Linked DNA regions of Alligator mississippiensis. The protein of the gene in region 1 purifies or fractionates together with the protein of each later gene. This does not show direct contact. Links are inferred from orthologs where the notes say so. Each region holds a gene or a part of one and is shown in the gene's direction. Other genes may lie near its edges. The genes, in order: TADA1 and ATXN7L3.

The links.
Region 2: the proteins of TADA1 (region 1) and ATXN7L3 purify together in Homo sapiens (affinity purification with mass spectrometry; 6 studies listed by BioGRID and IntAct, counting the BioPlex papers as one, with this or other methods). This does not show direct contact. The link is inferred for Alligator mississippiensis from reciprocal best matches to the Homo sapiens genes TADA1 and ATXN7L3.

What each region holds. Positions count from the first base shown.
Region 1 is NC_081828.1:43,836,543-43,840,448, forward strand, and holds the start of TADA1 (transcriptional adapter 1), read left to right. Parts: upstream 1-1,260; 5' UTR 1,261-1,423; coding exon 1,424-1,497; intron 1,498-3,906. Other genes in the region: PRDX6 (peroxiredoxin-6), read right to left, coding at 994-1,085. UniProt on the Homo sapiens protein: Probably involved in transcriptional regulation.
Region 2 is NC_081827.1:159,444,722-159,448,627, forward strand, and holds the start of ATXN7L3 (ataxin-7-like protein 3), read left to right. Parts: upstream 1-1,733; 5' UTR 1,734-1,917; intron 1,918-3,906. UniProt on the Homo sapiens protein: Component of the transcription regulatory histone acetylation (HAT) complex SAGA, a multiprotein complex that activates transcription by remodeling chromatin and mediating histone acetylation and deubiquitination.

The sequences.
Region 1 (3,906 bases):
CTGCCGATTGTTTTTTAACTCATTCCAATGAAATTACCTTTGTTTTTTGTTCAATGTTAATCAGAATAATACAGCCCTAGACCCTTAGCTTTGTGTAAAGCTCCTGGTTTCTTTCTGAACCAGAGAAAAATGTGTTACTCTATATGTGATGATGCACTTCACCAACTGCTCCCTCCTGTTCAAAATCTTGGATCTGCCCCTGCCTAGAGTCACCGCTTCTCTGGAAATGCCACAGGACCCAGCGCACTCCCCTCCCGGCTCCCATCAAGTTTAATGGGGGCATCTGAATTCCCAGGCCTGGGGCTTGCATGTAGGATGCCAGCCTGGTTTAAAATAGAGCAGGGGGATATTGGCAGACATGGAGACGGGGCTGAGATATTTGGGGATTGGAATTTAATTGCCTTTGGACTGAAATACTTATACATACAATACAGCATATAGAGGATGGAAGTACGTGTGTGTGGGGGTATCTACCTCTCTATCTAAAGGGATATAGATATATAATGTATATATCACTTCTGTATACTAAATTACGTGTATAAGTATTTTAGCTTTTAAATTGGAATTTAATTGACTGAAATACTTATAAATATATATACTTATACACACACACACACACACACACATATATGTAAGTATACTTATATATGTGTAAGTATATATATGTTTATAGCTATACTTATATAATACATGCGCACGCACACACACATCTATACACACACATATTTGTCTCACCTCTATATACTATATTATATGTATAAGTATTTCAGTCCAAAAGCAATTAAATCCCAAATACGTGTGCGCGCGCGCAGATACGTGTCTAGCTACACGTACATAAACACATCTCTCAGCACAGGAGGCAGGCAGCTTGGCTCAGCCCCTCGCCTCTCGGAAGCACAGCCCGCCGCGGGACGCGGGAGCCGAGCCGAGCCGACCGAGCCCAGCCCAGCCCAGCCCAGCCCAGCGCCCCGTCCCGTCCCCGCCGTCACTCACGAGTCCCCCAGGAAGTCGTGGAAACGGATGCGGCCGTACGTGGTGTCCGCCTCGAAATTGGGGGCCTCGTCCCCGAGCAGCAGCCCCGGCATGGTTATGACTGTGGCTGTGGCTGTGCCTGTGGCAGCACCCGGCGCACAGAGCAGCTGCGTGGGAGTGCTGGCGCGGCGCGTCGCTGCGCGGCAGCAGGGCGGGGGCGGGGCGGGGCCCCAGGCAGAAGCGGACGCGGGCTCAGCCCCGCCCCGAGTTGGGGGTGTTACATGACCCTCCCCCCCTGACCAGCGCAACATCCCGGAAGCAAGCGAGGCGCGGGCGGTAGCTACGACACACAAGAGGCGGCCGGGGTTGATTGCGCGGTTGCCGCGCGCCGCCGAGCGTGCGCCGCGGCGCGGGAGGGAGGTCGGGAGCTCGGGTGCTGCCGCCGCGAGCAATGGCGACTTACGTGAGCGAGCTGGAGGCGGCCAAGAAGAACCTGAGCGAGGCGCTGGGCGAGAACGTGAAGCAGTGAGTGCGCTCCGGCCGCCCCGCCCCGCATCCGCGCCCGGACACTCGGCCCCTCTCTTGGGGCTGCAGACGTGTGTGCAGCCCCTTCTCCTGTCCCAGGCTCATGCCATCCCGCCGGGCCCCTGCTTCAGGGCCCGGGGGCTTAGCTAGGCCGGCCCCGCTCCGCCGCCTTCCTTCCCTCCTGCAAAGCCTAGCCTGGCAGCGTTGCCCGCCGGCGAGGGGCCTGGGCCCGAGTTCCCCGGCTCCGCCGCGGGGCTGCTGCTGCCTACTGGGCAGGGGCTGGAGCCGGGCCACGGGCGGGGCAGGTCTCGCAGCACCGCGGTGATTATCCCGCCCCACTGCAGGCGTCGGGCTTAGAAACATGGAGCTGGTTTCTATCCCGCTTTCATTTGACCGTGCAGGAGGGCCCGTGTATCTCTCCGTAAACTGGTCAGTCGTGCCATAAAAGTAAACCCGCCACACATGCGAAATACTTATCAGACAGTTACTCGATTAATCGTGCAATAGATGTAGCCCTGCCACATGCGCACAATAATCATTATTGCACAATTAACTGGTGTAGACTGGCCACAATTGCAAAGTAACGATCACAGGATTAAAAGGACTATGCAGCTACAAAAAGAGCAGGCCTGCTCTAGAGTGAGTGCTTGAAAATGTGTAACAAGTGTAGAGGCGGTTTTGATTGGGCTTTAATTTGAACATGTAGCAGAGCCCTTAGTTTAAGACTGAAACAAAAAGAAAGTTTAAAAAAAGGCAACTTCAGGGAGGGTTGTGGAATAGGAGCTTTGTGACCAGGAGCAGTGAAGAGACAGCAGCGTGGCAGAGGAAAGGCTAGATTGATTGGTGCAACATCAAGACAATTAAAAATGCCTGTGGGATGAAGAGTTTAGAAGGGATCAAGTAATCAGGGTGGGCAAAGTTCAGCTGTCAGTGGACTTCATTTCCCAGTAGTCCCTGCCCAGGTGGCTGGGGTCAGTTTCTGTGGAGACTAGCCCCAGCAGCAGCACTGTCAGACAGCAGCAGTGCCAGACTCTTCCTGTGGGAGGGGCTGTGCTGCAGGTGGGAGCGGGGAAAGCTCAGCTGCCAATGCCTGTGCAGGACAGGCAGCAGTGGTGGTGCTGCTTGGAGGGGAGGCTATAGGGGCCTACTGGAAATTTTGGGGTGGCTATATCCCCCCTCTAGTGCCACCCTTGCTGGGAGGGCAGGGAGCTGCTCTGGAGCCTGCCTGAGATCTTGCAGCGGTGACAGCATGGTCTGGAGCCAGGGCAGAGCTGCAATCTGCAGCCTGCATGCTCCGGGCAGGGGTGTGCAGGCAGTGGATCATGGCTCTGCACTGGCTTTGGACCACACTGTCACCACTGCAAGGAGCCTGGACCCTGCCCAGATCGTGCAGGCTGTAGATCACAGCTCTGGCCTGGCTTTGGGCCACATTGTCACTGCTGCACGATCCCAGCTGGGCTCCGGAGCAGCTCTGCGCCCTGCTGTGAACCCTACCAGTGCTGCTGGGGTTGGTTTTCATGGAAACTCTGGCCTTGCACTATCACAGCCTAGCTGCTGCTGGGGTCTCCACACAGGCATGGGCTGCTGGGAAATGGAGTTCATTCATCAGCCAGATCTACCATTTTGTCCACCCCTGGGCTAGATGGTAATAAGCCATGAAGCCAAGCGACTTTCTCAACATTGCCTGACTAGAAATGCTGCAGCCACTGCCAGGCAGTTGGCTTTAACCTTTGGACCCAGGAATCAAAGAGGGGGTACACATGCACCAGTGCAGCCCCCACCCTAGAGCCAACCCAAATGGCTTTTTTACAGGTTCAATAACATGCTACATGCTTCTGTTTGTATAAGCAGCCTTGCAGGAAATCAAGCAGGTTCCGTTGGCTTCAGTTCCTTGTTTTCTCATGCAGCTCCACAGAAAAACATTTTGCATCTTTGCACCTGCTTCCCCATCTGCAAAAGAATGGCAATGGCATTTGTATCCACTGTAAAATGTGTTTTGAGATCTATGGAGCTATGTGGTGTTTGTAGCAAGCCATAACTTTAGCCCACAATCCCCCCGCCCCCCCCAGTTGATTATTTTAACTCAAAGGGTGTAGAAACAGCATTAAGGTCAAAGAATGGTGTTGCAGTAGTATCAGTGCTATAATAGCAGTTCTAGCACCAATATAAAGAACTATTGTCACTCAAAAAACATGCCCATCATCAGGGTAGACTTGATTTAAATCTATTTAAATCACAATTTAAATAACTGGTCAGAGAACCTCGATTTTAATCACTGTTTTCTACAAAAAGTGCATTCTTGTTGTTTGATATAACCTTAATACATATTATTCACAACTCTGAGATAGGTGTAGCTTTCATTTTTGGAAAGTACACTATACATTTAAAGTGGTGATTTATTTTGAGTTT
Region 2 (3,906 bases), on another chromosome or scaffold:
CTGCTGGAGAAGGGGAGGGAATGAGAAGGAAGGAGTGGTGCCCACATTGGAGGGGAGGTGGTGGTGAGAGCAGGGTCAGGAGAGGGAGGTTTATCAGGGAGGACTCAAAAGTCCTGGGCAGCTGCTGCCGTGGACCTGTCTGCCTGGCTGTGGGGGCTGCATCCAGGCCTGCAGTGCTGGTGGCATCTATTACACCCCCTTGAATTCCTAGATCTGCCCATTGTATGGCACCAAGGGACTGGACTGAGCAAATGATTTCTGAAGCGAGGAGCAAAGTGGGCTGCCAAGCATCTGCACTCAGCAGGGCACAAGGGCTGTCAGCCGTGCAGCTCCCCTGCTGCTGCAGCCCTGTCCAGAATATTTTAAGCTTAGGTCCTAACTCCCTCACTGCCTTCTAAAAGACCTGCCTGCCTCATCCAGGTACTCCAAACAGCTTAGATGGGCTTTCAGATGTGTAAGGGCCACTGCACTGCCTTTTGTAAGCATGAGGCAAGGTGCACAGCGGTGGAGAGCCAGGCCATGTGGGTGCTGGAGGAAGTGGCATGTGGGGAGGGGATTGAGTCACTGGCCTTCTTGTGCCTGTATTTTAACAGCTCCAGAGTGGCACTAGATGTCGCTGTGCTACCCCAGAAGCTGGACTGGGAGCAGTCATTTATACATTCTCTGCACCAGGGAACAGCTGCTTGGTGACCCGGAGAGCCTTTGCTCCCATTGCCCTGGTGTACCTCACTAGAAAGGGAACCAGGCTGTTGGCTCTGGAGAAAGGGCTAATAGCTCTGAGCTCGATGGTGGGTCAAGGCAGTCTGGACACACTTTACGAGCATCAGAGTAGGGAGTAAACCCCAGCCCATTTCCTACTTTCCAGTGCAGGTACCTGCAGCCCCCCTCCATTTGATCCCTGCTTTGCGGCCCTGCCTTCGCACTACCCGTCCTCCTGCCTCCGAGAGGCCTGCGTGCCCTCAAACCAAACAGTGGGCAGGCTCTGGCCCTGAAGCAGCTGCCTTGGTGGGAGCGCATGCAACCAGCTTTGGCGCCTGCCTGTGCTTGCCTAGCAAGGCTGCGCCAGCGGCACTGGGGCCGTGGGGTAGCCAGCTTTCTCCCTTCCCCTTTCCCTGCTGCTGGGGCCTCTCCCTTCTTGGGCAGCTGTTGCAAGCCAGGGGCTGGTGGCGGGGGAGGCAGCATGGGCAGGCCCAGGGGCAGCCAGGGCAGCATTGGGCGTGTGGGTGGGGAGCCCCCTGGCCTAACGGAACACTTGCTATTATGGGCTGCCTGGCAGCGGTTGCTATGGCAGGCCAAGCAGGGGGAGTCTCCCCTCCCATCCCTGGGGAGCCCCGGAGCCCCCCGGCCCAACAGAACCCGGGCTGCTATTATGGGCTGCCTGGTAACGGTTGCTAGGGCCGGCCAAGCTCCAGCTGCACGAGCGCGGGGCTACTGAGAGGGAAGAGGCATCTACAGCGGCAGGTCAGCACCAGCCCGCGGACGGGCACGGCTCCCTCCCGCTGTGGATTCCCTACGGTCCGCGACAGGGTGGCGGAGAACTGGCGGCCCCTTTGTGCGCAGTTCGCCCGCCCCCGGCCCCGCCCCCACGCGGCGCACCGCAGCCTGAAACACAGCGGCCTCGCGGATTGGCCGCCGCCGCGCCGCCTCGCCCGCCCATTGGCCCGCCCGCGCCCAGCGGGGTAGGCTGTGCCTCTCGCCCCGCCGCCCCGGCTGCCAGTCCTACTGCCGCCGCGGCCCGGGCTGAGGGAGCGGGGCGGGGCAGAGCGGGGCGGGGCGTGCTCGGCCACCGCCCGCCGGGCCGGGCCGGGCATGGGGAGGCGGGGGCTGGGCATGGGGCGGCGCGGGCCGGGCGGGCGCCGCCGGGGCGGCCGGCACTGAGCGGCCGCCGGCAGCGCCGCACGGCACGGCACGGCCGGGGTGAGTCAACGCGCGGGCGGGCGGGGCCGTGGGAACAATGCGCGCAGGGCCCTGCCCCTGCCGCCCGGGCCGGGCCGGGCCGGGCCGGGGCAGGAAGCCGCGGCGTTTCCTCCCTGGCTGGCGCGGCGGGGGCCCGCCCCGCCCCGCCCCGGCCGCACAGCAGCGGCGCCGTGCTCAGCGGCGGCCGGAGGCTGCGGGGGGAGCTCCCCCGCCATGAGCTGAGCCCTGGCGCCGATGCCCCCCTTTGCGTTGGCCCGGCCCGGCCGCACTCGTGGCGGGGCAGTGCAGCCCGAAGCAGCCCCCGGCCGGCTCGGCCCGGCTCTGCGGGTCTGGCTGGCGGAGGACAGCACAGCCCCTAGCAGCCGTCTTTGGGCCACTGTTTGGCAGCAAACCCCGTTCTCCCAGCTCTGGCTCCGTCCTGGTGCGGAGCCTGCCTCGGCCCTGGCCGTCCTCACTCGTGCTGTGCCCAGGTGCCAGGACTCACCTGCTGCTCCCTGTCCCCCTGGCTGCCAAGGCAGGGAGGCTGTTTTCTAGGGAGGGCCTCTGCTGGCCTGGGAGAGGCCTTGTTTACCACGGCAAGCTGGCCTGAGGGACAGGCCCAGTTTCTGGGGGATGAAATGCCATGGCTCCTGTGGCTGGGTGCCTCCAGCCTGGAGCTGGGCACCCCTGGGCAGCTGACAGGTGTCATGCTGAGGCGGGTGCCCACTATTGGTATCCATCTGTAACGGGAGTCTGCAATGATGATGGAGACTCCCACCAAGACGTGGGCCCTGCCCTGAGAGATGCAGCACATCCCATGAGACAGATGTTCCCTGTTTTGAGGAGCCTGTAGTCTCAGCTGGCCAGACAAGGGGATCTTCTTCCCTGTGGAGCCTCAGCCATGCTGGTCATGTCAACAGAGTCAGTGTAGATGCAGCATGTGCTGAAGGGAGAGGTTTAAGACTTGCTTTCACTCTTCCCCCCTCTCCCCCCCCTGCAGCAGGTGTTAGTACAGCTGTGCCCTGATGGCAGGGATTGCTCTCATGGCAGGGGGATGGTAAAGGATCTTTATACAGCCCCTCTGACTGTCAGTGAAGCCAGGAGGTTGGAGGGGAGACAGGACCAGAGAGGGGCAGCAACTTGCCAGTGGTCACACAGCAGGGACAGCTCAGAGGGGAACCCAGGTGTCCTAAGTCTCTGTTATCAATAGGTCATGATATCTGCCTTCTCTGCCTAGGCCAAGGTCATACACAGGATGGAGAAAATGCCCCCTGAAGTATCCCTGGAGCTCTGTGCATGCCCCAGTGGCTCCCTGGGCCCTGCCCTCTCCTGTGTTTCAGGGGCTCTGCAGACCTTCCTTGTGCCCTGCACTAGGGGTTCTGTGGACTGCCCTGTGCTCTGCCATGACCACCGCTCTTTCTGCCGGAGAAAGGGAGGTTTGCAGAGCAGAAGTGGAGTTGGATGTTCACTGTTAGTGGTTGACACATACAAATTCTGTGCTGTGTAGAGAGTGCTGGACTTGGCTGAAGCTGGCAGGGCATTGTGTTCCCCCATCTCCACCAGATTTTATTTGCAAACACTTTGCTTACTGATGCCTAAAAGGATTGGGCAGGCAAGGCAGTGTTGCAGGCAGTGGGGTGGAGGGACAGTGTTTGGCAGCAGGGGCAGGGGCAGGTTCCGCTCCTGGCTCTGTCTGGCCTGGTGTCTGCTTCTGATTCCCATGCCTGTTAATGGGTTGAGGATGGGGGCAGGGCTTCCAAAGAGAGAATCTGTTCTGTGGGGTCGTCTTAGCAGCTCTTGTGTAGAAGGGGCCCTCCTAGGGACCAGGGAGCCATTGACAAACACTGGTGCCTGTGGCTTCCAGACAGAACAACCTCAGGATCACAGACCATGACTTCATCACTCTCCTGCCACCTCCAGGCTCTAGCATGAGCTGACCCTGCCTAGTGACCCCTGATGATAGATGACCTGCTGTGGGAAGGGGCAGCAGCCTCATCTCTGCTCTAGGTG